Linked DNA regions of Callithrix jacchus. The protein of the gene in region 4 interacts with the protein of the main gene of each other region in a pairwise test. Links are inferred from orthologs where the notes say so. Each region holds a gene or a part of one and is shown on either strand. Other genes may lie near its edges. The genes, in order: PLEKHN1, GADD45G, testis-specific serine/threonine-protein kinase 3, REL, TSTD2, NCK2 and LENG1.

The links.
Region 1: the proteins of REL (region 4) and PLEKHN1 interact in binary tests that used the Homo sapiens proteins (3 or more experiments, as listed by UniProt). The two-hybrid records come from large-scale screens. The link is inferred for Callithrix jacchus from reciprocal best matches to the Homo sapiens genes REL and PLEKHN1.
Region 2: the proteins of REL (region 4) and GADD45G interact in binary tests that used the Homo sapiens proteins (3 or more experiments, as listed by UniProt). The two-hybrid records come from large-scale screens. The link is inferred for Callithrix jacchus from reciprocal best matches to the Homo sapiens genes REL and GADD45G.
Region 3: the proteins of REL (region 4) and testis-specific serine/threonine-protein kinase 3 interact in binary tests that used the Homo sapiens proteins (3 or more experiments, as listed by UniProt). The two-hybrid records come from large-scale screens. The link is inferred for Callithrix jacchus from reciprocal best matches to the Homo sapiens genes REL and TSSK3.
Region 5: the proteins of REL (region 4) and TSTD2 interact in binary tests that used the Homo sapiens proteins (3 or more experiments, as listed by UniProt). The two-hybrid records come from large-scale screens. The link is inferred for Callithrix jacchus from reciprocal best matches to the Homo sapiens genes REL and TSTD2.
Region 6: the proteins of REL (region 4) and NCK2 interact in binary tests that used the Homo sapiens proteins (3 or more experiments, as listed by UniProt). The two-hybrid records come from large-scale screens. The link is inferred for Callithrix jacchus from reciprocal best matches to the Homo sapiens genes REL and NCK2.
Region 7: the proteins of REL (region 4) and LENG1 interact in binary tests that used the Homo sapiens proteins (3 or more experiments, as listed by UniProt). The link is inferred for Callithrix jacchus from reciprocal best matches to the Homo sapiens genes REL and LENG1.

What each region holds. Positions count from the first base shown.
Region 1 is NC_133508.1:39,194,571-39,197,765, forward strand, and holds the end of PLEKHN1 (pleckstrin homology domain-containing family N member 1), read left to right. Parts: intron 1-146; coding exon 147-287; intron 288-414; coding exon 415-552; intron 553-778; coding exon 779-997; intron 998-1,277; coding exon 1,278-1,326; intron 1,327-1,402; coding exon 1,403-1,536; 3' UTR 1,537-2,695; downstream 2,696-3,195. Other genes in the region: PERM1 (PGC-1 and ERR-induced regulator in muscle protein 1), read right to left, coding at 3,010-3,113. UniProt on the Homo sapiens protein: Controls the stability of the leptin mRNA harboring an AU-rich element (ARE) in its 3' UTR, in cooperation with the RNA stabilizer ELAVL1.
Region 2 is NC_133502.1:73,441,998-73,445,386, forward strand, and holds GADD45G (growth arrest and DNA damage-inducible protein GADD45 gamma), read left to right. Parts: upstream 1-1,331; 5' UTR 1,332-1,441; coding exon 1,442-1,494; exon of another isoform or gene 1,495-1,761; coding exon 1,762-1,863; intron 1,864-1,999; coding exon 2,000-2,213; intron 2,214-2,301; coding exon 2,302-2,412; 3' UTR 2,413-2,889; downstream 2,890-3,389. UniProt on the Homo sapiens protein: Involved in the regulation of growth and apoptosis. Mediates activation of stress-responsive MTK1/MEKK4 MAPKKK.
Region 3 is NC_133508.1:68,965,795-68,969,414, reverse strand, and holds the start of testis-specific serine/threonine-protein kinase 3, read right to left. Parts: upstream 2,312-3,620; intron 2,080-2,311; 5' UTR 1,982-2,079; intron 912-1,981; 5' UTR 828-911; intron 1-827. Other genes in the region: uncharacterized protein LOC144576966, read left to right, coding at 2,413-2,519, 2,766-3,020, 3,281-3,359. UniProt on the Homo sapiens protein: Serine/threonine protein kinase required for spermatid development and male fertility.
Region 4 is NC_133515.1:53,247,950-53,251,898, forward strand, and holds the start of REL (proto-oncogene c-Rel), read right to left. Parts: upstream 2,801-3,949; 5' UTR 2,547-2,800; coding exon 2,537-2,546; intron 1-2,536. UniProt on the Homo sapiens protein: Proto-oncogene that may play a role in differentiation and lymphopoiesis.
Region 5 is NC_133502.1:145,751,996-145,755,495, forward strand, and holds part of TSTD2 (thiosulfate sulfurtransferase/rhodanese-like domain-containing protein 2), read right to left. Parts: intron 2,687-3,500; coding exon 2,370-2,686; intron 1-2,369.
Region 6 is NC_133515.1:15,811,286-15,815,318, reverse strand, and holds the start of NCK2 (cytoplasmic protein NCK2), read right to left. Parts: upstream 2,801-4,033; 5' UTR 2,590-2,800; exon of another isoform or gene 2,534-2,589; coding exon of another isoform or gene 1,673-2,533; intron 1-1,672. Other genes in the region: uncharacterized protein LOC118147454, read left to right, coding at 1,673-2,533. UniProt on the Homo sapiens protein: Adapter protein which associates with tyrosine-phosphorylated growth factor receptors or their cellular substrates. Maintains low levels of EIF2S1 phosphorylation by promoting its dephosphorylation by PP1.
Region 7 is NC_133523.1:47,340,471-47,344,726, forward strand, and holds the start of LENG1 (leukocyte receptor cluster member 1), read right to left. Parts: upstream 2,801-4,256; 5' UTR 2,778-2,800; coding exon 2,646-2,777; intron 1,599-2,645; coding exon 1,419-1,598; intron 508-1,418; coding exon 245-507; intron 1-244. Other genes in the region: voltage-gated chloride channel TMC4, read right to left, coding at 3,379-3,447, 3,542-3,620, 3,877-4,032, 4,129-4,256.

The DNA.
Region 1 (3,195 bases), on a different chromosome or scaffold from region 4:
AAGCGGGCAGAAGGCCATTGGGTAAGCATGTGTTGGGGACCCTGTTTCCTCAGGGGACTAAGACTGGAGGGAGCCCCTGGCAGCCTCAGGGAATTGCATGGAGAGGGCCCCAGAGGCTCTTTCTGGAAGGTCTGTGGTCCTCACAGGACCAGGCCAACTCTGACCCCACCAGCATCTGCCAACGGAGGACAGAGCTGAGGCGCAGAGGCAGCAGCCGGTCACCCAGGAGCAAAGCCCGGGCAGAGGGCCAAGGCCCTGCCATACCACTGCACCTGGACCTGACACAGGTGGGCCTGGCACACCGGGGTGGGAGTATGGGCCCTGGCCTGGCTCCCACCACTCCTCATCTCAGAGAAGGAAAGAGTTAGGCTGCTTCGAGCTGAGGAACACACCTCTCCCACCTCTCCCCTGCAGCTGAACAGGCTGAGCCTGGAGGGCAGCTCAGAGGCCGCTGGCCACACAGAAACACCACACTCGCCCCTCTATGCCGACCCCTACACCCCACCGGCCACCTCCCACTGCAGAATCACAGATGTCCAGGGCCTGGAGGAGGTCAGTCCCTTGCTGAGCCAAAGAAAGGGTGGGATGTGCGGCCACCTGAGGTCGGGAGGTACCTGCACCCCAAGGTTCGGGGTCTAAGGAGGTCTAGCCCATGAATCTCGCCCTGGGGTCCGGGGCTGCCCAAAGCCTGAGGTCTGTTCTGACTGTGCTGGGAGGTTGAGTTTCGTTGCTGGGGTCCCTGGTGCCATCAAGGTTCCAGCCCAGGCCCTCCCTGCAGTTCCTCAGCGCCACGCAGAGCTCACCTGGACCTGTGCCCTTGAGCCCGCTCCCCTTGTTGCCCACATCTGTGCCTGTCTCTGACCCTGGCTCCAGCTCCCCCTGCCCCACTGGGCCCCACTTGCTCTCCAAGAAGGGAGCCTTGCAGTCCAGAGCCTCTCAGAGACACCGAGGCTCAGCCAAGGGTGCAGGGCCGCAGCCCGCAGACGCCCCTCAGCTCGTGAGTAGCAGCCCCCATGCCGGTGTGCCGTGGGCTCTGGGGGTGCTGGGGGGGCTGGTGTGGGGGCCTCCTGGGACTCTAAGGGAACAGGGAGGGAAACAGGAGGGCAGGGGCAGCTGGAGACCAGGGCAGCCAGCAGGGAGGCAGGCAGACAGGGCCAGGAAGGGAGAGCAGGGGTCATGTGGGTGATGCAGGGTCCAGCACTGCGCATGGACAGGCTGCCTCCAAGCTGCTTGCCTGGGGCCGTGCCCCTCTTAGACTTGTGGTTTGGGGTTCCCAGGTCTCTTCTGCCAGGGAAGGTTCACCCGAACCTCGTCTGCCTCTGACAGGTGAGTGACAGTCCTGCCTCCTAGGGAGGGTGCCTGTGGCCTCCCGTAGGCTGATGCATCTCTGCCTTCCCCCTAGATGGCCAGCCCCCCAGGAGGAACGAGGGCCCAGGCTGCAGCCACCCCTGGGATGAGACTTTGGCTTCCTCCCACCAGAAGTGCGCCCAGCTGGGAGGGCATGAGGCCAGTGGCGGGCTTGTGCAGTGGATCTGATGGCCCCAGCAGGGCAGGTTCTCAGGACCACCCTTGCCAGGCCTCCATGACACCCACCCCCTAAGCCACTTCAAAGTCCAAGTCAGGGTCTGAACCCAGTGAGGTGGGGGGAGTCTCCAGGGCCCTGGGCTCCTCAGCGCCAGCAGCTGGGGTGAGGAAGGGGCCCCATCCCAAGGACACCCTGGCTGGAGAGGCCAGGTCACAGGTCAGGGAGGCCCTGGCCATCCACAGGGTTGGCCCTCAGCTCAGCCAGCCAGGAGTCGGGGAGGAGACTTGGGGCGTTCCTGGGAGTGGGAGGGTGGCATGGGTGTGAAGGTCGGAGGACAGAGCAAGGTTAGCAGGGTCAGAGTATGTGAGGTCAGAGGGCAAGAGGGTCACCGGTCAGCAAGTGTGAAGGGCACAAGCCAGGGTGTGGGTGGGGGTGTCCCAAGGAGGAGGGCAGGTGCGGCCTTGTGGCCTGGGTGTGTGCAGCTTGGGAGAGGCCGACACCACCGGACAAGAAAGAAAAAAAGAAGAGAGAGAGAGAAAGAAAAGATTTTATTGGTGCCGCGTCTACATGTTCTCTGCTCAGCAGCTGGGGTCTCCCACAGTCTTGGACACCCTCTCACGCTCCCTCGGGGTTCCCCCATCTGGCACCCAGCCAGGCAGCCCCCTGCTACTGCCACCTCAGGCCCCTCACCTGCCTTCCCACTGCGTCTCTCACCCCTCTCAGCTGTGCCCCACAGCACCCCACTTCTGCCACCTCAGTCCCCTCACCTGCCTTCCCACCACGTTTCTGACTCCTCTGAGCCCCCAGGAGAAACCCAGAGCCCAGTCCTCCATCTGATGCCACCGAATTCTCCCTCAGCACCTGCACCAAGGGCCCTCGGGGCTCTACTGCAGACCCCCCACCCTGCAGGGGCCGCCTTCACTGTGTCAGGCCAGAGCCCGAGAGGCCTTGGCCACAGTCCCTCTGGAATTTGGGGTGATGAGCCTCGGAGCCCTTGCCACCAAGCCTACCCATGAGGAGGGCAGAGTCCTTAGACCCCCCACCCGCTTTGAGGCCACCCCATGTCCTCACTCCTTCCTCTGCCCAGAGCTCCTGTCCCGCCGCTCAGCCCCACTGCATCCTGGAAGCACAGGGGCGGTTTCCAGGTAAACAAGTCACTTCTCAGTAAAATGGCCTCCGTAGTATTGCACGTCCGAAATTCAAATTTAACCACATGCCCCGTGTTCTCATCTGTGAATCTGGCCACCCTGCTGCCCAGCCACCTGCCCGGCCTCCACCCACCGAGACTGGCATCTCCGTCCCCAGTGTGGGGAGCAGCTGTGCTCACTGGCTGGACCCTCAGGTGAGTCCTAGGGAGCAGCACCAGGACACGCCCCCCCGGACCCCGCAGAAGACGAGTCAGGGGGCCCCGGCGAGGGCGGCACCTGTTCCAGGCACCCGTGCTCAGCTCCTCGTCCTGCGTCTCCCTGGCCCGGGCCTGGCTCCTAGGAGCTGGGGCTGGGGCTGCGGCTGCGGCTGCGGCACCCTTGCCTCACCTGCCGGCGGAAGAATCGGATGGCAGAGACGGTGCCAATGTTGGCCAGCAAGACTGCAAGGGAAGCACAGGGTCTCCTGAGGGCCAGCTGTGGCCGTCAGCACCATCTGCCCGAAACGCTCAGGACTCGAAGGAC
Region 2 (3,389 bases), on a different chromosome or scaffold from region 4:
TCAGCACAGCGTAAGACAAACAGGCTCTTACTCCATCAGCACTGGATGGGAATCTCCTTTCGCCCTCTACTCCCCGCAGTTACTTTGGATGCGATTTGCGGCCCTTAATCGGGTTCCTGTTAATGTTGGACAGGGCTCAGTGGGCCTGGCCGGGCAGCTCCGTGTCCGCCCCCCACCCACCGCTCTTCTCCCGCGCCAGGCCAACGGAAGGGTGTGTGTGTTGGGGAGAGGGGAGGAGAAAAGGGGTTTTAGGATCTTTCGAGCTTGCCTGTAGATGGCGCCCCGGGAAAGAGATTCTGGCCGCGGGGTTCCGGCCAGAGGGCGTCCAGCCTTGTAGACCGCGCACCAGCTCCCAGTCCTTCCCAACTAGCGCGACTGCTGGGCACCCGTGCGAGAAACGGGTGGAAGGGAATTACATGTAGCAGGGCCAATACGGGGGCGCGCACTCAGGGACCACGGAGTGGCACGCAGCCTCGACCCCACGCGCCGGGCAGCCCGGCGACCCCCACGCGCGGCGGGGGCCTGCCCGCCCCACCAGGCAGCAGGTGGACAGTGTTGCTATGAAGAGAAAGCCTGGATTGTCCCTACTGCAAACCGCCACACGCCAGACCTCTGCTATTGTGCGCCCTCCATAGAAATGCAAACGAGCGGCGTGCGCCGGCCGCAATCTGCTCGCCCCCGCCCGCCCCCCTCTCCGGCGCCCAGCGGTGCTCGGCCAAGGGCGGGGAGGTGGGGTAGGAGCTTCCAGCGACAACTCAATGTATACATTGAGTGTGCGTGGGAGGCATCGTCGGCGCTCTCCGGACGCTAGTGGTCAGCTGCAAGGGGCTGTGCCCACTGCCTTTTGCAAGCCCCTAACTGGCACTGCTTTTACCTTAATTTCCGGCTCCAATGCAACAGTTTCATAAACTTCAAATTAAAGGAAAGAAACAAATAGAAAGGTAGCAATAAAAATAAATGCCAAAAAAATTCCTTTTGATTCTATAAAGGTGCTTTTCGCAAATTGCAGCAACCTATTAGCAAACAAGGTTTTTGTGGGTTGGTTTTTTTTTTTTTTTTCTTTTTCCTTTTAAGGACTTCAAAAAAAAAAAAAAAAAGGCGAGATGAAATCTGCAGGCTCTAGTCTGCCTGGTAACACCCCAACAAAAGCGGCAGATTTGAGGCATTGTCATCCCCCGCACCCCTCCCCACGTGGCCTTCTGGCACGAGCCGCCGGCCCGCCGCCTCATTTACATCAGAAAGCGGGTGCCGGCCAATAGGCGCACAGCCTCGCGCCAGCTGGCGGCGCAGCACCCTCCAGCCTATATAAGGGCGCGCGGCGTAGCAGGGGCGCAGTCGCTAGTGGTAGATGAGCCGAGCCGAGATCTAACTCACCGTGTGTTCTCCCGTGCCCCCTCCGCGCTCTCCGCTTGTGGATAACTTGCTGCTGGTCGATCGCGCTATGACTCTGGAAGAAGTCCGTGGCCAGGACACAGTTCCGGAAAGCACAGCCAGGTGGGTCTCAGGGCTGGGAGAAAGCGGCTGGTCGGTCGGCGGCCTTCAGGGCCCTCCAGGGTGGGAGTAGGAGCCTGGGGTATCGGCGTAGGAGCCGAGCGCTGGGGTATCGGCGGCAGATCCAGGTTGGAGAGGTTGGGTGCGGGCGCCGAGCCGGGTCTGGAGTGTAGTTGGAGTGCCACGGGTGCGTCCGGGTGCGTCCGGGTGACCGGGGCTGGGGGCTCCTACCCCGACCGGCTCCGGCTCACTGTGCTGGCTCCTCCGCAGGATGCAGGGTGCCGGGAAAGCGCTGCACGAGTTGCTGCTGTCGGCCCAGCGCCAGGGCTGCCTCACTGCCGGCGTCTACGAGTCAGCCAAAGTCCTGAACGTGTAAGTGTAGACACTGCCAAGGCTGGGATACCGGGGCGGGGGTGAATGACTAGGAGACGGGCGGATGGGAGGGGTGGCGGCGGGAGACCTCTGCTCGCGGTTTCTGACCTTGGTCCCCACCTTGCTGCCCTCGCAGGGACCCCGACAATGTGACCTTCTGTGTGCTGGCTGCGGATGAGGAGGACGAGGGCGACATCGCGCTGCAGATCCATTTTACGCTGATCCAGGCGTTCTGCTGCGAGAACGACATCGACATCGTGCGCGTGGGCGATGTGCAGCGGCTGGCGGCTATCGTGGGCGCCGGCGAGGAGGCGGGCGCGCCGGGCGACCTGCACTGCATCCTCATTTCGGTGAGTAGAGTCCCGTCCCGTCCCCGCCCGGGTGTCGTTCCCGCCTCGGCCGGCTGCCAGCCAGGCTGACCCTGCTCTCTCTCCGCAGAACCCCAATGAGGACGCCTGGAAGGACCCCGCTTTGGAGAAGCTCAGCCTGTTTTGCGAGGAGAGCCGCAGCGTTAACGACTGGGTGCCCAGCATCACCCTCCCCGAGTGACGGCCCGGTGGGGACCTTGGTCTGATCGACGTGGTGACGCCCCGGGGCGCCTAGAGCGCGGCTGGCTCTGTGGAGGGGCCCTCGGAGGGTGCCCGAGTGCGGCGTGGAGACTGGCAGGCGGGGGGGGGCGCCTGGAGAGCGAGGAGGTGCGGCCTCCCGAGGAGGGGCCCAGCAGCGGCTGGGCCAGGCTGGCCCGAGCTGAGGACTCTGCAAGTGCATGGAGCGGGCTGCTCGCCCAGGAAGGCCTAGGCTGGGACGTTGGCTGCAGGGCCGGGAAGGACAGACTGGCCGGGCAGGCGTGACTCAGCAGCCTGCGCTCGCAGGAAGGAGCGGCGCCCTGGACTTGGTACAGTTGCAGGAGCGTGAAGGACTTAGCCGACTGCGCTGCTTTTTCAAAAACGGATCCGGGCAATGCTTCGTTTTCTAAAGGATGCTGCTGTTGAAGCTTTGAATTTACAATAAACTCTTTGAAACAAACTTATGCTCTTTATTGAGGGTAGGGGATCTTTGTGTCGGGGGAGGTGGTGAGCAGGGTTTCAGAGGATTGCTGGAACTTCGTGGAACTAATGGCACCTGTTCCGTCTTCCTGTCGGCAAGAATGACAGGCTCGTCGGCGCTGGCAGAGGAAGGGCATGCTGCCCACTGCTAGGGTAGAGCTTGGGCCCAGCTCCTACTTTTCTCCTTTTAGGTAGATTCTAAACTTGCAAAACAGGAGCGTATTTTAGATAAGACATCAGTGCAGCAACTAAAGCCTCGCCTTCCAAAGCGATAACAGTGACCTCTGCCTCCCCTCCCCCTCCCTCGGTCCCCCTCCCCCTCCCTCCCACAGCTGCTTATCTGAACAGCTTGCTGGAGGCCGCAGGCTTTCCTGCACAATGAGCATTGCCTTCTGCAGACCCTGCCCTTTGTGGTCCCTGAGGACGGTGGCAGGCTGCTCCTGCTCTTGGGGACTTTTTCCTGTTAAATGCTCTGACACA
Region 3 (3,620 bases), on a different chromosome or scaffold from region 4:
CAGGGACAGACTAGCAGGCCTGGGAACAACCATGAATAGGGAGTGAGCAAAGGATAAGAAATTTGCCATGTGGCAGCAAACCGTAAGATAGCAAGAAAATCAAAAGTGCACAGTATCCAGAAATACAAGGGCCTAAAAGTACCTCAAAGAGGAGGGAGTTATTTGTGTCAAAGCTGGCCACTGCTAAGGGGTCAAGACAGATAAGGACTTGTAAGCATCCCTTGGATTTAGCAACAAGGAGGTCAGTGGTGACCTTGGTGGGTTGTTCCTGTGGAATGGTGGGGGAGGAAGCCAGATTGCAGGGGCTGAGTGAGGAAGTGGAAACAACGTGTGTATACAACTCCTTCAAGAATGCTGGCTGCAGAGGGGAGCTGGAGAAGGATGTGGAGTGGAGGGAGGGCTTTCTTTTTTCAAAGATAGGAAAGGCTAGAGCTTCTTTGTCTGCTGATGGGAAGAAGTCATCAGGGAGGGAGAGGCTGAAGATATGGAAAATGGTTGAAGATAGGGAAAAAAAGAAGGGATTAGGGGAAGGAGATTCCCCATGGAGGAAAAAAAGATTAAATTCCCAAATATGGCTGCACAACCTGGGGGGCAAGTCAGGACCTGTTCTGGGCTCTGGGGGCTCAGAACAGCTGCCCACTCTCCCCAGCAGCCAGTGTGAGTCACTGGAGGGGAAATAGCCCAAACTGGCAATGTGGGAAGGGGAGCTGGGCCAGCATGTTCCTTAGGATCCCCAGGGATCAGGGAGGAGCCAGGAGCAGCCTGGGCTCTGAGCCCTGAACCCCATGCCCTGAGCTGGACAAGGACACACAGAAGGGTTGTCTCACCTTTTGTAAGAGCAGGCAGAGTTGTAGAAAGCTTAGGTTTTACTTTTGGCTTTTCACTGCCCCATTGTGAACCTGTTGCCTCTTCTGCAAAAAGAGAGGGTTAAACAGATCGACTTTTCAGTTCCAGGGAAGGAAAGTGTCAGGACCAGGACTTTGCTGACAGTTTAGGGGGTCCTGGAGCCCCAGCAGCCTCCAACTAGAGTTGGCTGAGGAGCTGACATTTAAGCATGCAAAGAATTAGGGAAAAGGCTCCTATGAGGGCCATGGGAACAGGTCAGGGTGCATCTAAGCCTGGGAGAAGAGAAGGCCCTTTGAGGTGTGAGTTGTGCCTGAGCACACCATCCGGAATGTGTGAGGCCAGCCAGGAGTGGTGGCTCACGCCTACAACCCCAGCACTTGGGAAAGCGGATTGGGAGAGGGGCAGGCTGTTTGATCCCAGGAGTTTGAGACCAGCCTAGGCAACATGGCAAAACTCTCATCTCTACAAAAAAAACACAAAAAATGGCCGGGCGCAGTGGCTCACGCCTGTAATCCCAGCACTTTGGGAGGCAAAGGTGGGTGGATCACCTGAGGTCAGGAGTTTGAGACCAGCCTGGTCAAGATGGAGAAACCCCATCTCTATTAAAAAACAAAACAAAACAAAAACAAAAACACCAGGCACGGTGGCTCATGCCTGTAATCCTAGCACTTTGGGAGGCCGAGGTGGGTGGATCACCTGAGGTCAGGAGTTCACGATCAGCCTGGCCATCATGGTGAAACCCCATCTTTAAAATAAATAAATAAATCACACACACACACACACACACACACACACACACACAATTAGTCGAACTTGGTGGCATGGGCCTGCCATCCCAGCTGCTTCAATCCCAGCAGTCTTCCTGCAAAGGCAGGAGAATTGCTTGAGCCCTGGGAGGTTGAGAATGCAGTGAGTAGTGATTGTGCCACTGCACCCCAGCCTGGGTGACAGAGTTGAGACCCTAACGCAAAGAAAAGAAAAGGCTGGGCTTGGTGGCTCAGCTATAATCCTAGATTTCGGAGGCCAAGGCTGGTGGGTCACTTGAGCTCAGGAGTTGGAGACCAGCCTTGGCAACATAGTGAATCTCTGTATCTACAAAAAATACAAAACATTAGCCAGGTGTGGTGGTGAGTACCTGTAGTCCCAGTTACTTGGGGGACTGAGGCAGGAAGATCGTTTGAGCTCAGGAGGTCGAGGCTGCAGTGAGTTATGATCACCCCACTGTATTCTAGCCTGGATGACAAAGTGAGACCCTGTCTCAAAAAAAAACTGTTTGAGCAGGGTCTGGAGGCCCTGGGTGGGATAGGGTAGGGTTTTTCCAACGGGCAGCTGACCTTTCTGTCCCTGGTCCCCTCCTACTGCCTTTCCCTGTCCTTGCACTTCTGTCTTTGGCCCTGAGGAGTGTCTCTGGTGAACTTGGAGATCCGGTGACCAGCCCCCTCCCACTGAAGTGGCCAGTGGGGGCAGACCAGACTAGACCTCACGAGAGACCAGCTCTACCCCCACCTCCTCTGCCAGCTGACACCTCCTGGCCTCCTGCTAAAAACAGTCGGTCCCAGGGGGCCTATGGGTTTTCAGGCCTCCCCCTCCACGCCCAGGCAGGTATTAAAGAGGCCGAAGTCGGGCCAGACCGGCTGGACATCATGCTATTCACCGAGACTGCTCACTTCGTGGTGAATTTTCTTCTATCCCGGTGAGGGGGACCAAGGGAGGGCGCCCGCGGGATAAAGCGCCCTGGTTTGGCGGCTGGGGTAGGAGGCACCCAGGTCTTTGGGAAGGCCCCGCTAGGGGCCTCCAGTCCCTCTAAATCGACCAGGAGTGACTCCGGCCCGCGCCCTGCCTCATCCGATCCGAGGAAGCTCCCTCCTCCCCGCCTGTCCTGTTCTCCAGGGGTGACTGCTGTGCCATCTCCCCCGCAGGCGGCCCCGGGCCACAACCCCGCACCGCCTGGACCAGGAGTTGTGTTTCTGGGGCAGCCGGGGCCCAATGTTGCCGGTATCCGCCACCCGCCGCAGCCTGGGTGACTACTGGCTGAGCCCGCAGCGCCGCCACCCTCCGGGCGCCGCTTGGCGCTGGCCGGCACGCAAACTGCTACTGCTGCCCGGGGACACAGGCCTGGCCGACGTGCCCTCAGCACGCTGGCCCAGCTGCTACGGCGCACGCCCGAGACTCACGTGAGTGCGCGGGGGAGGGGCGGGGCGAGGACCCGGGGAGTAGACGGGGGGCGGGGCCTACGCGAAGAGGCGCGGTCTAGGGAAAGGGCGGATCCCCAGAGCCGAAGATCCCGGCCTGGGAGTGGGCGGAACTTGGTGGGAAGGGCGGGGCCTGAAGGCGACAGGGAGCGGAAGGAAGGAAGGGGCTGGGCGGAGTGGGCGCAGACCCGGAGGGAGAGGATCCTTGCCTGCACCCTGTCTTCGATTTCCCTTCCCTCCAGGTGGAAGCACCGTTGGCAGAATATTAACTACTATTTTCTGGGCAAAAGGAAGAGACACCTAGTTCCCTTGCGCCCGTGAGAGCCGGTGAGGGGCGGGACCACAGGGGGCGCGGTCGGTGGGCGGGCCCTCGTTGCGGGCAGGTCTGAGGCGGGGCCTAGCCAGAGGGCGTCGGGGAAGGGCGAGGCCCGAGCTCGACGTCGGCCCGCTGCAGACGAGGCCTGCGAGGCCTTAGGACCCTTGTGGGGTTGAGCCGCAACCAGAGGGGCTCGGTGTGCGGGGCGTGGTCTTAGCAGGGTTATTTTTCTCTGCGCTTCTTGGGCCTACACAAGCATACTTTTA
Region 4 (3,949 bases):
AATACACGATGTGAAATCCTAAATAATCTGCTAACTTATCTAAACAAAATTTAGAATCATATGTATATACATGATTCTAAACTATATTCTAAATTATATAATTTTGCTTAGATTATGATTTCTGTTACTTTTACATTATAGATATCACATATTCAACTACATATACCTATTCATATATGATATCTCGTGAGAAATGAAGAAATATTCTTAAACGCTTTGTAATGAATAAAAGTACTTTTTGAGTTTTAATGCTACCTTACTACCAACAGAATCTAAATTAGGCAATGAAAAACTAAGCAATTTTTTTTGGTCACTCTTCCGGTTAAATTACTGTTTCAAAACAGAATGGGAATTTAGAATTTCATTAGCGAATCTTTTTCTATCTCTAAGGTCTTTATATAACAGATTAAGGAAAAGTACACAGATTCGTTTAATCATTTTTTTAAATTCCAGGCCTGACAGTTTTCTAATAACTGAATTACAGTTTAAATAACTTGTTACATTTTAAATAGTCCCATTTTAATGCAACTATTCAGAAAAGACCAAAAAACAAAAAGTTAAATCACCCTTCAACTTCCAAACCTTTAAAACTTTCCATTTCTTTAAACATTTCCTCCTTACATTTAGGGAATCCTTGGTCCTCACAACAGCACAAAATACAGTGTCAATGAACAAATTTAAATTGTAACACATTTTAAAATCCTGTGAATCTTAGAATAGTCTATATAGAAATGGTTGTTTTCTCTCGCATTTGAAAAAATTAGAAGTATTACATTCATGCAATATATTAGTAATGTTTGATTAAATCGCCAGAAGGCTGAACTTTCTTACTTACGTTAGGTATTCTTCATTACTTCCAAACAAAATCTTTCTGATAACCAATAAATTAACAAAATATTTGAAGTCATCTTAGTTAGCACTTACAATCTACACATGCTTTGAATTCACAAACGTACAGAATTATCTGAAAGTTTGGGGTCACTTAAGCACGTAAAGGGAAAGTTGAAATATTTTAAACTACACTTGTATTCTCACAACCACAAACTGAAATCAAATGTCAAGTGAAACACCCCAATTTCCTTTTCTGCCTACAGCAATAGCTACAGCATTGTTTTGCTCAACCTTTTAAAGAGATTCTTTAAGCTTCGACTTCCTCTTCTCTACTAGACATCGGCTTTCTTCTAAGAGTCACTGAACCAGGCAGTTTGAGGATGGGAGTCAAGTTCAGAAACGGGGCCCCCTCTTCATTCTCTTAGTACAGCATTTAATATATGTGTTTAGCCCTTCCTGCCTCTGCTCACGCTGCTTCCTCTGTCTGGAAAGCGCTCCCCACTCACCTTGCCAAAATCCTGGTAAAAGTCCAAATCGAACCCAGGTTACTTGATTTATCTCCCGGCCCCAGCTCCGGCTCCCCTACGCCCCTAACCTTAAACTACAGGCAGCCCCAAACCATGTCTGTGTATACACGAGACTCTTCCTTGCCTTGCAATGTTTCTTATAAACTTATGTATAAGAGAGAGAGGAAGGAAGAGATTCGAGCATTTATTAAGGGAAATTATATATTTAAAAGTAATAAAGCTGTATTCAATCCTACTTACTATTTAAAAGCACGATGTTCTAAAACTCCCTTTTCCCTTATTTTTAGCCGGGAGGAGCGGGGACTCAACGTCTCTATTCGTCAGATTAGAAACCTTGTGCTTTATCTCACAATAAAAACTTCACATTTTTTTTTCTTTTAAATACAGTCTCGCTTGGTCCCCCAGGCTTTAGTGCAGGGCCGCGATCTCGGCTCACTGCAACCTCCACCTCCCGGGTTCTAGCGATTCTCCTGCTTCAGCCTCCCGAATAACTGGGATCACAGGCGTGCGCCACCACTACGGGCTAATTTTTGTATTTTTATTAGAGACGGGGTCTCACCATGTTGCCCAGGGTGGTCTCGAACTCCCGACCTCAGGTGAGCCGCTCGCCTCGGCCTCCCAAAGTGCTTGGATTACAGACATGAGCCACCGTGTCCGGCCCACAGTTGGTCGAAGCAACATTAAAACTTAAAATACCACGGATTTTTAAATCCGTGTTAAAATACCACGGATGATTTTTAAAGCCGCGCCACATTTTGTACAACTGTCAGTACAAGGGGGATCACCTCTTTGCATCTGATGAAATTAAACTAAAAAGGGGGAGAGAGCTTGCCCGAGGTCTGAAGGTTCCTCATTCTTGTTCTAAAACATAAAACCACCACTTCAATACATACCCATTTTTAAGTATGGGAACTCCTCGTACTCCTTTAGTTCGATTATGACTTCCCTAATCCTAAAGTCGTTGGCAATTTCTAAGGTTCTTGCTTATGACAACAGGATCAAATTACAGAGCGTGGCTTGGATTTCGGACGCAAACCCTGAACCAGGTGACTTTTTAAAAAGCTGACAATTTTATCACATAACATTTCAAAGACAGAACGCGCCCCAGCCAAAACTAAGCTCCCTAAACTCACAGCGGCAGGATCCCCAGAAGAGCTCCTTCCCCCGGTAACACTCACCGGATGCCATGGCTCCGCTCCCCGCGCCTTCCCGCAGGCAGCTTCCAGCGTCCCGGCCGGAGGCGGCCGCAGTCAGTCCGTCAGTCAGTCAATCAGGAGGCCGAGGGACCTGTGCCGGTGGGGCCCCCAGTCCCCCGACCACCCCAGGGTCCTCCTCCTTCTTCCCGCCCTCGGTTGGGTTTGAGGATCACACCTTCCCACCCCCTGAATTCCTGCGCTCCGGGTCGCCCTGCGTCGCCTGTCCACCTTGCGGGAGCCAGGGGCAGGGGGCGGAGCGGGGCGAGAACCGATTCCCCGCCCGGCCGAGAGGCGGGCTGCTTGGCGGGAGGGAATTTCCCGCGGCTGACGTATACCCGACGCGGCCGCCTTCACCCGGAGGCGTGGGGCGGGGCGTCGCGTCCTCGCGGCCCCCCCCCCCCCCGCGCACGCTCACGCTCTTTGCCCGCCTCCGCGCGTACGCCCCCAGAGCTGCTGCTGCCACTGCGGCGGTGGTGGTGGTGGTGGTCTTGGCAGGGGGTCGAGGCTGCGGGAACCTAGGGAGCTTCGGGAGCGCAGGGAACGGTGGGCGCCGGGAGGTGACGGCTCGCAGCGTGAGAAGGCCGCCGGCTCCTAAGAAATCCCCCTCCTCCAGGTTGTTCTTCCGAGTGTAGTTTAAAGTTCAGGAGCGGGCGGAAGGGTGCGGGTGACGTAGAGAGGGCCGGCCGCCCGGGAGCCTTTGGGGGCGCGTCGGGCGGCCAAGTGGGGCTGATCCTGGCAGCCCGGGAGGGCGACGGCCGGGGTTTTCGAGAGGTGGTTCCCCCTATTCCCGATTTCGCACATGCAAATCTCCACCCCCGCGCCAGCGCGCGGGACTGTGGAGGGGGAAGTGCGGTAGCGCGGGGGCCTGTCTTCTTCTGTAATTCCTACATTTGCATACGGGGAGCTACCCCACCCCCCGGCTGATTTTTTTTCGTCTACCTAAATTGCGAGGGCACTGTGAACTTTATGTATTTTACCTGCTGAAACCCGTTTAAACTCAAAAGGTCTGCACTTCGAGTTGGTTGTCTCATTACGCAGTGTACTCAAGTTTAGTGAAGTGGACACCTTATTCCGAGATTTCACATAGATACCAAGAAAAGGGGAAATGGAGCAAACATTTAGGGCCATTAAAGGACCTAGGATAACTTCGTTACTTTCATTTGAATAGTACCTGCTATAGGTCAGATAATTTCTATACCTCATCTATGACATTTATTATTCCTAATTTTATAGCTGAAGAATTTGGGGTTCAGAGAATTACTTCAACATACAGTACTTCAGAATGCTGGTAAAAGAAAAGACACAGTTAAAAGCCAGGGTTGTCTGACTCCAAAGTTCCGTGCCCTTGCCGCTATCCTTTACTGCAGGTAGGTACAGAGAGGGAATGGGGAATAT
Region 5 (3,500 bases), on a different chromosome or scaffold from region 4:
ACACTCATGCCTGCCTTTGCTCTGATTATCGTTCTCCTCCTGAAATGAAAAGCAATTTCCTTTTATATTTGCTGTACAGAAGACAGTATCTGTACCAAACTTACTTTACAAAAGTGAGTTTACTTTGGTCCCTCATTTAATGGTCATATCCAAGAGACAGGTATTAGTAACTCCAATTCATAGACAAGTTAGAAATTTGGTTCCATTCTGGCTTATCCTCTCATATAAGGAAGGATCTGTATGAATCATCATACAAAAAAGTTTCACTTCTATTTTTTCTTATATTTATTTAATTTTTAAATTTAAAAAAAAATTTTTTCCCCTATGGTATTTCAGGATCACTTACGTTTTTTCTTATAACCCTTTCTATGATACAGGTTATTATTATCCCCATTTTATAGCTGAATAAACTGAGGCCAATTCCTCACAAATGAGATAGCCAGAAAGTGATAGCAAGGACCTGAATGCCAGTCTTCTGACATCAGAATCTATGCTCTTTCTCTACTGCACTGTGCTGTCTTAAACCAACTAGCTGTGAAACCTGGGCAGGTCTTTTCATCACTTCTGGGCCTTAGTTTCCTCATCTGTAAAATGAGAATGCAAATAAATTATATTTTCCAAAGTGTGTTATGAAGCTGCTCTATAAAGTCACGTTTGGAAACCCTGTAGACAGCATCTCCCTCCTTAAGAATCACAGCAAAAGCCTCTTAATCTATTAAAGGCTCTGAGAAGTCTTGCAGTAACAACAGTTTGATTGAGTGCTTCCCAAATTTGTCTTTCATAACCATTTTTTCAATATCTTGTTAGCAGCCTCTAAAACTAGTGTTCCACAGAACATATTTTAGGGAATGCTACTGTACAGGACAATTAAAGTCCTCTCCAGCTCTGGAGTCTGAGTCTCTCATCAACAGCCTCATCATATTGCAGGGCCTAGTCTCCTCCATGAAACCTTCTTGCCTATTTCAGATCCTATTTTCCTTTCTCTAAGCTCCTTTAACAAATTAGTCTCTGTACCATACAATTCAACTGGTAATTATATAACCTGTTTTGTATCATCTGCTAATCTGTCTCATGTGTCTTTTTCTTTGTTACTCTAACCAGTAAGTAAATTCCCTGAAGAGTGGGGCCATAATGAAATGGAATGGCCATATCTGTGTAGCACACTGTAGTTCACAAGAGCTCATTCTATCACCATCCTATATAATCCATTCTGCAGTACTGGGAGGAAGGCAAGGCAGGGATTGTTACTCCAATTTTAGAGGTGAGGAAATGAAGGTACGGAAAATTTTAGTGAATAGCTCAAGTGTGACTCCTACTTCAATTTGCTTTCTAACTTTCTGCTTTCCAATAAGCAAAGGGAATGTGGCACTGAGTAGTAATGACAAAAATTTATCATATTTGGACTACAGTTGACCCATGAGCAACATGGGTTTGAACTGTGCAAGTCCACTTATTTGCAGATCTTTTTTTGCCTCTAGCACTCATGAGGCAATAAGACCAAAATCTCTTCCTCCTCAGCCTACTCAATGTAAGGGTCACAAGGGTGAAGATCTTTATGATGAGCCACTTCCACTGAAAGAATAGTAAATATATATTACAATTTTCTTTTTCTTACCCCAGCCCCGGGGCTGGAGTGCAGTGGTGTGATCTTGGCTCACTGCAACTTCTGCCTCCCAGGTTCAAATGATTCTCCTGCCTCAGCCTCCCGAGTAGCTGGGATTACAGGCACCTGCCACTACACCCAGCTAATTTTTTGTATTTTTTTGTAGAGACGGGGTTTTACCATGTTGGCCAGGCTGGTCTCAAACTCCTGACCTCGTGATTTGCCTGCCTTGGCCTCCCAAAGTGTTGGGATTACAGGCATGAGCCACCACACATGGCCCAGGTCTGGCTATTTTCACTCAGCATAAGGATTTTCTCATTTACCCATATATGTTCTTGCATATTAGCAGTTTATAGCATTTCATTGTCATGCAGTATTCTTATGGGACTATACCAGTTTATTCATTCTCTTGTTGATGGATAATTATAGTTGTTTCCAGTTTTTTGTTACTATGAATACAACTGCTATGAGCATTCTTGTACAAGGCCTTCTGTGGACATGTTTTTATTGCTGTTGGCATTATACCCAGGCGTGGGCCACAGGGACAATGCATGTTTAAGAAACTGCCAAACACTTTTCTAAAGTGGTTGTGCCATATTACATTCCCTCCAGCAGTGACCGGGTGTTCCAGTTGTTCCACATCCTCATTCACATTTGGCAGAGTTAGTCTTTCTCACTTTGGCCATTTTAATGGGTGAACTGTAGTATCTCATTGTGGTTGGAAAAATACTTTAAATCAAACCAAAATACAGAATGAAAATCTTACCTTATCAGCTCATCAGGGTTAAAGCAGCTTATATCAGGGAGCCAAGCAGACACTTCATGGCTATGTGGAAGGCACTCTTTTAGAGAGTTCTTTTCATCTGAAGATGAAAGACTCTTTGAGGTGCTCAATGTCACAGCCAGTTGCTTTAAAATAGAAGCTGTCTGGTGATAAACTTCATCAGCATGTTGTGTTGCCACATGTCTATGGATGCTGGTTCTGTCTGTGAATAGTTGCTGACAGCATTTCCACAATTCTTCTTTACATTCAAAACTCCTTTTTGTTGGAACTTCTTTGGTTTTGACAAAAAGAGCAAAGGCCTGCAATTAGATTACAAACACAAACACTGTTAAATAACCTTAAGTTTACGGCCAATAGAAGTCTCAGTGAGATTCCTTATATTATCTTTCCACAGGGGTTTCCAGTTTTATGTCCCATTATGCTATACAATTCTCTGAAGAGTAACACTTCTCTTATTAGTAAGCTTTAGAAGGGACTATTAGAGAAATTAAGACTAGGCTTTATATTAAGGAGGTTAAATAACTCTCAGCATCATAATTTTATTCTCAGGAATCAGTTACAGTGGAATATACATAATACAGTTTGGCCTAAAATATTACAAATAACACTATCAGTTATTTTCAAAAGGAAAATGGAAAGTAAATTATGGAGTATGCTTACCATGGAATATTAAGCAGCCAGTTTTAAGTTATATGGAAAAAGATTTATGATATAATAATGTTAAGTGAAAAAAACTGGATAAAATTTGCTTATGCAATATAATCTCAACCACATTAAAAAAGTACATTGAAAAAGACTGGGAAGAAATGTACCAAAATGTTTTCTTTCTTGGAAAATAATATTACTGTTTTTATAAAAATTACTTATGCTTATTGTAAAACAAACAAAATTCTCTTAACCAGTTGCCACCTGATGAACATTTATTATAAGCAATGCTGAATGAGCTTCCATGCATCCTCTTTCTATATCTTTAACCATCTATATAGGATATCTAAAATAAAAATTGAGGGGTCAAAAAGCATGAAATTTTAATCTGTAATAGTGACTTCCCAGAAAAATGTGCCAATTTATACTCTAACCAGAAAAGCATGTGGGTGCCATCTTATCCACAGC
Region 6 (4,033 bases), about 37 Mb from region 4:
CCAGTCTGTGCACAGTCAAGGAGGACTTCCAGTGTATTTAATATGGATGATAGTGCATTTCTCAAATATGGTACTGTGTACATAAGATCTGCTGTGTTTTGGAAAAGCTAAATAACCCCAAATGTAAATGACAGTGCCTGGGTAAGTACAGCAGGATCAAACAGAGAGAGATGAAGAAGATTTAAGTATGTAGTGTGTCCTAAGCAAAACACAAAGCCTGAAAACTGAGCACAGCTACCTGAAAAGGGCCTTCAGCAAGTCCCATCGTTAATAGGGTCAGTTTCTTCACAAGCGGACAGAGGGGTTTATGCAGCAGCCAACTTTCCCTGATGGTAATTTATGACCCAATTTCATCCAGTGTTTCATGATCAATCCCGTTGAATGTTTATGAAGCAGGAAAGAAGCTCAGAATCCATGCAAGGCCTCCAGGACAGGAAGTGGGCCAGGCACCTCCACAGATTCCCATGGCCAAAGTTCTTAATTTCAGCATCAAGTAGCCGCCAAAAGAGCACTAAGATTCTGCCACCGTCTCCAGTCAAAACTACATCTAACCAACCTCCAGGGGAGAAAATACTGAGGTAGGATTTTCCCTTGTGGTCACTTCTTCACAAGCAGGGTTAACACTTGCTTCGCAGGAAATCCCTGTTTCAAACATCAAAAAACCTACATGTCTAGCCCAATCTCCAGATGAAATGCATTTCTTCTCCATGTGTCCCATGACTGCCGTTCTCTTTACAGAAACCTCACACTGGCTTGAATCCTGTTACTAATTCACCCGTTTATGAACGCTTGGAAAGTGAATTGAGGGAGTGTTCACAAGCACAGTTCTGTACTGTTAAGTTAAAGCAGCCCAGGTTAATTTCATTTTCAGTCACTTTTCAGATTCGATAACTACATCCAAAACAGAAGCATGAAACACAACCTGAATCACTTTCATTCCTACACAAAATCCTTTCTGAGAAGCAGGGACTGGGTCTGGGGCCTGGGCCAGGAAGGGACTCCTCTACCTGTGGGTCCCGAGCAAGCCACGCCCACCGGCTTCTCTGGCTAGTTCCTTTCTGGGTCTAGGGAGGGAGCTGGCCAGTGCGATATTTTAAGCCCCTCCTGCCCACACTAGGGCCTGCTTATCCCATTATGCAGACGCAAACTTGGCAGAAGCAACCTTAAACCTGTTGGTAAAATAAAGCCAAATCTGCCAACCTGAATTGTCTGAAGTGGCCAAGGCCGACTCCATGCACGCTCGGCTTTGTCCCTGAAGCTGTTACAATATTAGTTTAAGTCAGGTGCCTGGGGTCCACCAGCCAATGACCCCTAGCATCCAGCGCAGACCTTCACAGAGATCCTTACTGTCTACAAGTTAAAGTGTGTGGCAAATTAAACCCCTCCACACAATGCCAAGCTAACTGTGTTTGTAAGGGAGTTAGGGTGCCTTAAAACTCACATATCAAATGTTTCCAGAACCACTCGGTGGTTAAATCGCCCTGAAAGAAACCGAAAGGCCGAGCGATTGTGAGAAACTTTGGTTCAGGTGGCTGTAAGAGTCCTGTAAATCTGGGGCAGGGCGCACAGCCTGAAGCAGGGCACAAAAGCTCCCTTCGCCGACGCGAGGACCTCCTTTATGCGATGTGACAGCAGCTTTGTGCGCGATCATAAATAGTTGTAATAAACACAGTTAAGTTCTCCCGGCCGATCTCGGCCTCCCGCGTCCCTGCGCCGGGGCCCTGAGATCCCCGGCTCTTCTTCCCTAGCACGCGCGCCCTGGCGACCCTGGCCACTGCACGGTCCTACGCTAGCCCCAAGCTCCGTGCCAGCCGCCGGCCAGCAGGCCAAGAGCTGCCTGCACACCCGGGGGTCTCGAGTCCCCGGGCCCCGCCGCCGGGCCCCTTGCCCTGATCCCCGCCTGCGCCCTTGGCGGGCGTCCCCGCCCCTGCGCCGGCCCCCGATGGCGGGGGGTGGGGACGGGAAGGCAGGCAGGAAGGTGCCGGGCCAGGAGGAGCGGGGCAGCTCGCGGTCGGGGGTGCCCAGGCCGCGGCGGGGCCGAGAGCACCGGTGGGGCGCGGAGTGGACCCGCTCTCCCAACCCCTGCCCGGGCGCGCCCCGGCCCGAGAGCCCCGCTAAGCTCCCAACTCCGCCCAACGGCCCCAAGTTTGCGGCCCCCGCCCCGCTCCCGCCGTGCCGCGCTTACCTCGCCGTGGGCCGCCCGCGGAGCCGGAGGGCAGCGGCGCGGGTCCCGGGGCGGCGGCCGCGCTGCGCCCGCCCAAGCGCCGCTCTTTGTCTGCGCCGCTCCCTCCTCCCGCCGCCGGGCGGACGCTGCCGGCCCGGGCGGACCCCGCCGGCCCGGGCGCCGCGAGCCTCCCAGCCGCCGAGCCCTCCCCTCCGCCGGCCGCCCGCTCGGCCGCGCGGCTCTGGCCTGACGATCCCGGCGGCGGCGGCGGCGGCGGCAGCGGCGGCGGCGACCCTCCCCCGGCGCTCAGCGCCCGCCTCCTCCGCGCTCTTCCTCCTCCTCCCGTGCTCCTCCCCGGCCGCGCCGTGACGCCGCCCAGGGGCCGGCCCAGGCCCGGGCGCGCGGGGCGGGGACCCGAGACCCACCTGGGGCGCCCCCCGGCGCCACCAGGCTCCGCGTCTTGGGTCTCGGTAAGCGCTCCGGGATAGAGCAGGGCTAGGGGACGCTCCGCTCTGCAGGCGCAGCGCGGGCCGGGCGTCCGGTGCAGGAAAGGGTCCCTACGCCCGAAATTGCGCGCGGGCGGTGGGTGGGGAGGAGAGTGAAAACCCAAGTGGTAACTTCCAGCCTCGGATGACTGCCGGGTGGGCTTTGCGTGCTCTTTTTTGTTTGTTTCATGTTCTTATCACGAAGCTCTAGTTGCTGGGCAGCCGCCCCCGTCCCGGAAGCACTCCCACGGCAGTCAGCGAAGCAGGCCTGTTGTCCATCAGAAAAGTGACTTGTATAAAAATGTCACTTCCTCCCTGTAATTGCTTGTGGGCATTTTTATTTATTTGCCTTGCATCTATTTACTTTCCCAACCAGACACGTTTTTAGTCCATCATCCCGTCCGAGGCACTCCCTAAAAGAAGGAGAGGAAACTCGACCTCTGTTGCCTCGCAGGCATCCAGGCCAGCCCCAGCCAGTGGAATCCTGGTTGCACACCCGTGGGGCAAAACCCGAAGAGGAGCTGCCCGAATGGGCCCCTAGAAGGTGGGTGGCTAATAGTGGGACCGTTCAGCCCACACAGCCTCGAGTTGTGGCTAACCTGTAAACAAACTTGGAAGATTAAAACCCAAGAGCAAGGGGAAAAACACAAGCTTCCCTTTCACAGGCACTTTCATCCGGATGTCTTTGCTCCTCCCCATGTGATTTCCCAAAGGAAATTCTAATATTCAAATAATTCTGATTTTCTGGCAGGATAGCCTGCATCCATGTTAATAAGATTCTTTCTTAGGCTCCTAATCTCTGCTTACTATTAAGGCAATAATAACTTACCCAAGATTATAAAGCAGTATTATTTGACTCACTCATCTCCTGCCTCTTCCAGAAAGGAAATACCCTAAGATAGGTAACTAGAGGCAGTGTAGCTTTGCAGTCAGACAGGTGAGTGACTATTGACTTCCTGAACTGTGTAATTTCACACAGGTGGGCCTTATCCTTTCTAAAATCTGTCAAATGGGGAGTTTTTTGTTTTTGTTTTTGTTTTTTTGAGACAGTCTTGCTCCGTTGCCAGGCTGGAGTGCAGTGGCATGATCTCGGCTCACTGTAACCTCTGCCTGCCCAGTTAAGTGATTCTGCCTCAGCCTCCGGAGTAGCTGGGACTACAGGTGCCCGATCCCATGCCCAGCGAATTTTTGTATTTTTAGTAGAGATGGGGTTTCACCATGTTGGCCAGGATGGTCTCGATCTCTTAACCTTGTGATCTGCCTGCCTCAGCCTCCCAAAATGCTGAAATTACAGGTGCGAGCCACTGCTCCCGGCCAGGAGATAATATTTACCTATCTCCTATGTGAAGTACCCTGGCAGTAGGTAGCCCTCAATAGCTCAATA
Region 7 (4,256 bases), on a different chromosome or scaffold from region 4:
AGAATGAGTGTGAAAGGCAAACAGTGTTAGGAAAATAGGCTTGACACCACGGCACCCCCCGGAAAGGGAGTCAGGACCCCTAGGGCTCCCTGGACCACATGGTGAGAACCACTTTTCCACCCAGCCATCCCTTCACGGGGTCCCTGGCTGTTCCACCCAGAGCTCCTGCTGTGCCTGTGCCAGGCTGCTGCCAAGCCCTGAAGATCTGGGTCCTGCTCTGCCAGGGCAGGGTCCTCCTCCTCACCCCTTGGGTCGCTGTGTCTCAGAGCCATCCTTTTCCTTTCTGCTGTGATTGCCTTCATCACTGCTGTGCCGTCTCTTCTTCCCCAGATGCTTCTGCATCTCCCGCAGAGGGTCCAGGCGGCTCTTTATTTTCTCATCTGGGGCTGGGCCAGGCGGGGGACCCCCTCGCTCTGGTGGGAGCTGGTACCAAGGGGGTTGAGTCTGGGCCTCGGCTGCACTCTGGCCCAGGTATGTCAGGATGCCCAGAGCTTTCTCTTGTCTCTCCTGAGGGGTCAGGAAATAAAAGAGATGGGATATAATCTTTCAGGGTGTCAGGTTTATCTCCCTGACACAGGTATCTAAGGCCTATGGTGAAGCAGCTGTGCCAGGTGCTGGGGAGGGAAGAGACCAGCAGAGGCCAAGCTCCTGCCCTGGGGTGACGATAGCAGGGACAGTCACAGAAAGCAGAGGAAGGAGGGGATGGGGTGGAGCTGCCTGAATGTTCAGAGGCAGGCATCTTTGCAGGGAGCAAGCAAAGCAAGAGGACCCGTGGGTGGGGTCAGCAAGTCCAGAGACAGCAGGTGAGGAACAGGAGCTTTTACACTCGATCTTAGCCAAAAGGCAAGAAGTGATTGATTCACTTTTTTTTTTTTTTTTTTCCTGAGATTGAGTCTCACTCTTGCCACCCAGGCTAGAGTGCTGTGGCACGATCTCAGCTCACTGCAGCTTCCACCTCCTGGGTTCAAGCGATTCTCCTGCCTCAGCCTCTGGGACTAAAGGTGCATGCCACCATGCTCAGCTAACTTTTTTTGTATTTTTAGTAGAGATACCATGTTGACCAGGCTGGTCTTGAACTCCTGACCGCGGGTGATCTGCCCACCTCAGTTTCCCAAAATGCTGGGATTACAGGCATGAGCCACCACCAAGCTGATTTAGATTTTTAAAAGCTCATCAGGTTTGAGACCCCTCCAGTTTGGAGACCTGAGCAGTTCACCTAGCAGCTGGGGATCTCGAGCATCTACCTCCAAGCCCTGAGGGCACCCAAATGGCAACAGCCACCACTTCTGAGTGTGCTTTGGTATGGTTCTAAATTCTGAGTGTTCACTCTTGTTTAGCCTTAGTCACAACCAATGGCTAAAGTGTCCCTCCCCCCAGCTCCATTCATGTCTCTGATGAAGTAGATAAGGCCAGCTTACTTTCTCCTGTCGCTTTTCTTCCTCGTGCTCTTTATTGCCTCTGATCAGGCCTTTCCCCTCCTCCAGCAGCTCTCGAAACAGGTCCACAGGGCCAGAACTTGGGGCTCCCACCTCTGCTGCCTCAAGCTCAGGCAGTGAGTTCTGATGTCTGGCTTTCTTCCGTAGGAATTCTGTACGGGCCTGGGGAGAAAGTTACAGGCAAGACATTAAAAACCTAAAGGTAATTCAAGAACTTTTAAGTCTGGTGCGCACCACAGGAAACAGCAGTCCAGGGTGCTGGGTTTGTAAGAAAGGGGGCACCTGTCCTAGCAGGGGTGAGGGTAGGCAGATAAGGCAACACCTGGGTTTTGTAAACTGCCTTTCAAATAGTAAACCACACATCAAGGATGGCTGGGAGGAGGTCCCTGGCCTAAACCAAAGGGGTTCCTAACCTCAAGTGAGACAATTAAAACAGCTATAAAGGTAGAACAAACTGCATTAGGTCAGATGATCTGGATTCCAGGCATGGCTCCAAGTCATTACCCCAAGTCCATTGATGAAGCCCGGTCTCCCACCTTCAGGACAAAGCTCTCAGCAGCCTACTGAGATTCTAAAAACCCAGACTACCTCCCTCCCAGTGTGGAGGATCAGACTGGCTAAGGAACTGAAAGTTAGGTGTACACCAAACAGATTTAAGGAGCTATACATAAAGCCCATGTTTGTGTGTGTGTCTGGGGGTGGTGCAGGGAAAGGGCTCGCCCAAGGGGGTGGAGACTTCCCCTCCCTTGACGCCATCTCACTTCGTGCCACGGAGATGACAATGCCTCTTTAAGAAAGAACGGTGCTTAAGGGGGATTCTGGAAGTCAGGCGTTCTGCATGCAGTTAGCATACAGTAACTGCTCAATAAATAGACTGTGCAAGCCAACTAGAAAGTGATCCGAATTTCCTCAAACTGTCCAAGGAATCCTGAATTCGGTAAACATTTATGCTTCTCTTTTGTGCTAGACACTGCTCTAGCCATGTGAAATACATCAGTGGGGGGAAACAAGACGAGGGGGCGATCAAGGGAGATTTCATGCAAGTGGGCACAACGTTTGCCGAGCAACGTTTCGGAAAAGAGGTCCGCGCCGGGTCACGAATTACATACGGGGCACACGGCGCCTGCGCAACGCGTCCACTTCCGGCCCCCTACCATGGCGCCTGCGCGCTGGGCCCCGGAGTTCCGCCCGGCCGGTTCCCAGGCTTACCTCCTGCTGAGCCAGCAGCACCCTCCGCTCACGCTCCTTCTCTTCCTCCCGGGCCTGGGCCTCGTCACGCCGCACGCGGGCAACATTGTCCTTGTTCCGGACGTGCCAGCTCTTCTTGGGCAAGATATTCATGGCGTCGTAGCAGTCCACGGACTGGCACGCCCGCCTCTCTGCACTTCCGATTGGCGAGAGAATGCCCCTTCCCTCTTGTCCCTACTTCGACCACAGATTGGTTCTTAACTCATTGGTACGGCCCCCTGGCCTGTAACGACAGGTGATTGGCTAAGACGCCCTTTATCTCAGCGAATGCCAGGCTTTTGGCGCGTGGTATCCCCTAGCAACCGCTTTTCACATATCCGAGCCAATCGCAAGTTGGCCCTCCCCTAATGCCAGATTCGGCCGCCGATTGGCCAACACAACCATCAAGTCTCCTTGCGGAAGAGCACTTCGAACGGCCACACATTCCCATGCATTTGATTGGCTCCCGCCCTGATGTAGCCCTGCCCCCACCTTCAGGACGCAGATTTCAAAGCGCGCTCAGTCACCTCGGCTGTGTTTATTCATAGAAGAAAGATCACCCGAGAGTCTGGGACGTGGCGGCGAGGGTCTCTGGAAACCTCCAGATCCTAGAGCTGGAAGAGCGTGGGGTCTTCTCTAGTTCTCCTAGTTTTACAGATGTGACCTAGGCTTACAATTGGCCTGGAGTCTGAAGGTGGGACATGGGCTGCAGGGGTCAAAAAGCCGGGTGGGTGGAGCTCAGCGCCACAGCGCGCCGTGCGAGGAAGACTTTGTTCTGCGCCTCCTGAGGCAAAGAGAGGTGGAGGTCAGACAGCCCTCTCCCCCAATGCCTTTCAATGTCCCCCACGGGGTCCCTCTCAGGGACCCGCCTGGCTCACCGTCTCTCTCTGACGTTTGAGCTGAGAGATGAGACGACCGTAGGAGTTAGCCAGAGCCACAGTGTACGCCATCAGGATGCTGGAGGAGACACGAACAGAAGCCACTCCTGACACGCTCCTCCATTCTATACAAACCCCTGGCTCCTTCAAAGCCAGGATGTCATCTACAAGGACTTCAGTCTCCCAGCCCAGGAGTCCTAAGTCCCACCCTCCTCCTCCTCCTCCTTTGGACCCTAGGCCTCCTCCCACCCCGAGCCTCTCCTCTCTCCGACGCAGGTGGTGGCCCCCAGATCACGTGCATTCAAACCCAGACCCAGAAGTCTGGGCAAACTCACCTGGAAATCAGCAGAAGGGGTACAGCAAAAGCCTGAGTCCCCAGGAAGAAGAGGAAGTTCTGGGCGGTCTCAGGGAGGCTGGAAATAGACTCAGGGATCTGGGCCCAGATGGACGACTGCCCCCGGAATGGACCACATAGCTTAGAAGGTGGGATCCTGAAGTCAAGATAGGCTGGGCTCACGTAGAGCCAGGAGTCTGAACGCTGAACGCAGGGAGAGGGAGGGAAAGAGGCAGGAGCCTCTCGCACTTACAGGAAGATGCTGTAAAGCAGAGGAACGCTGGAGATGGCCAGACCCAGGAGAAGGACCAGGGGGAAAAAGAAATTCGCTGTGGAGGCCCGGAACGTGCGGGCAGCCGGAGAGCAGGTGAAGAAGAGGGT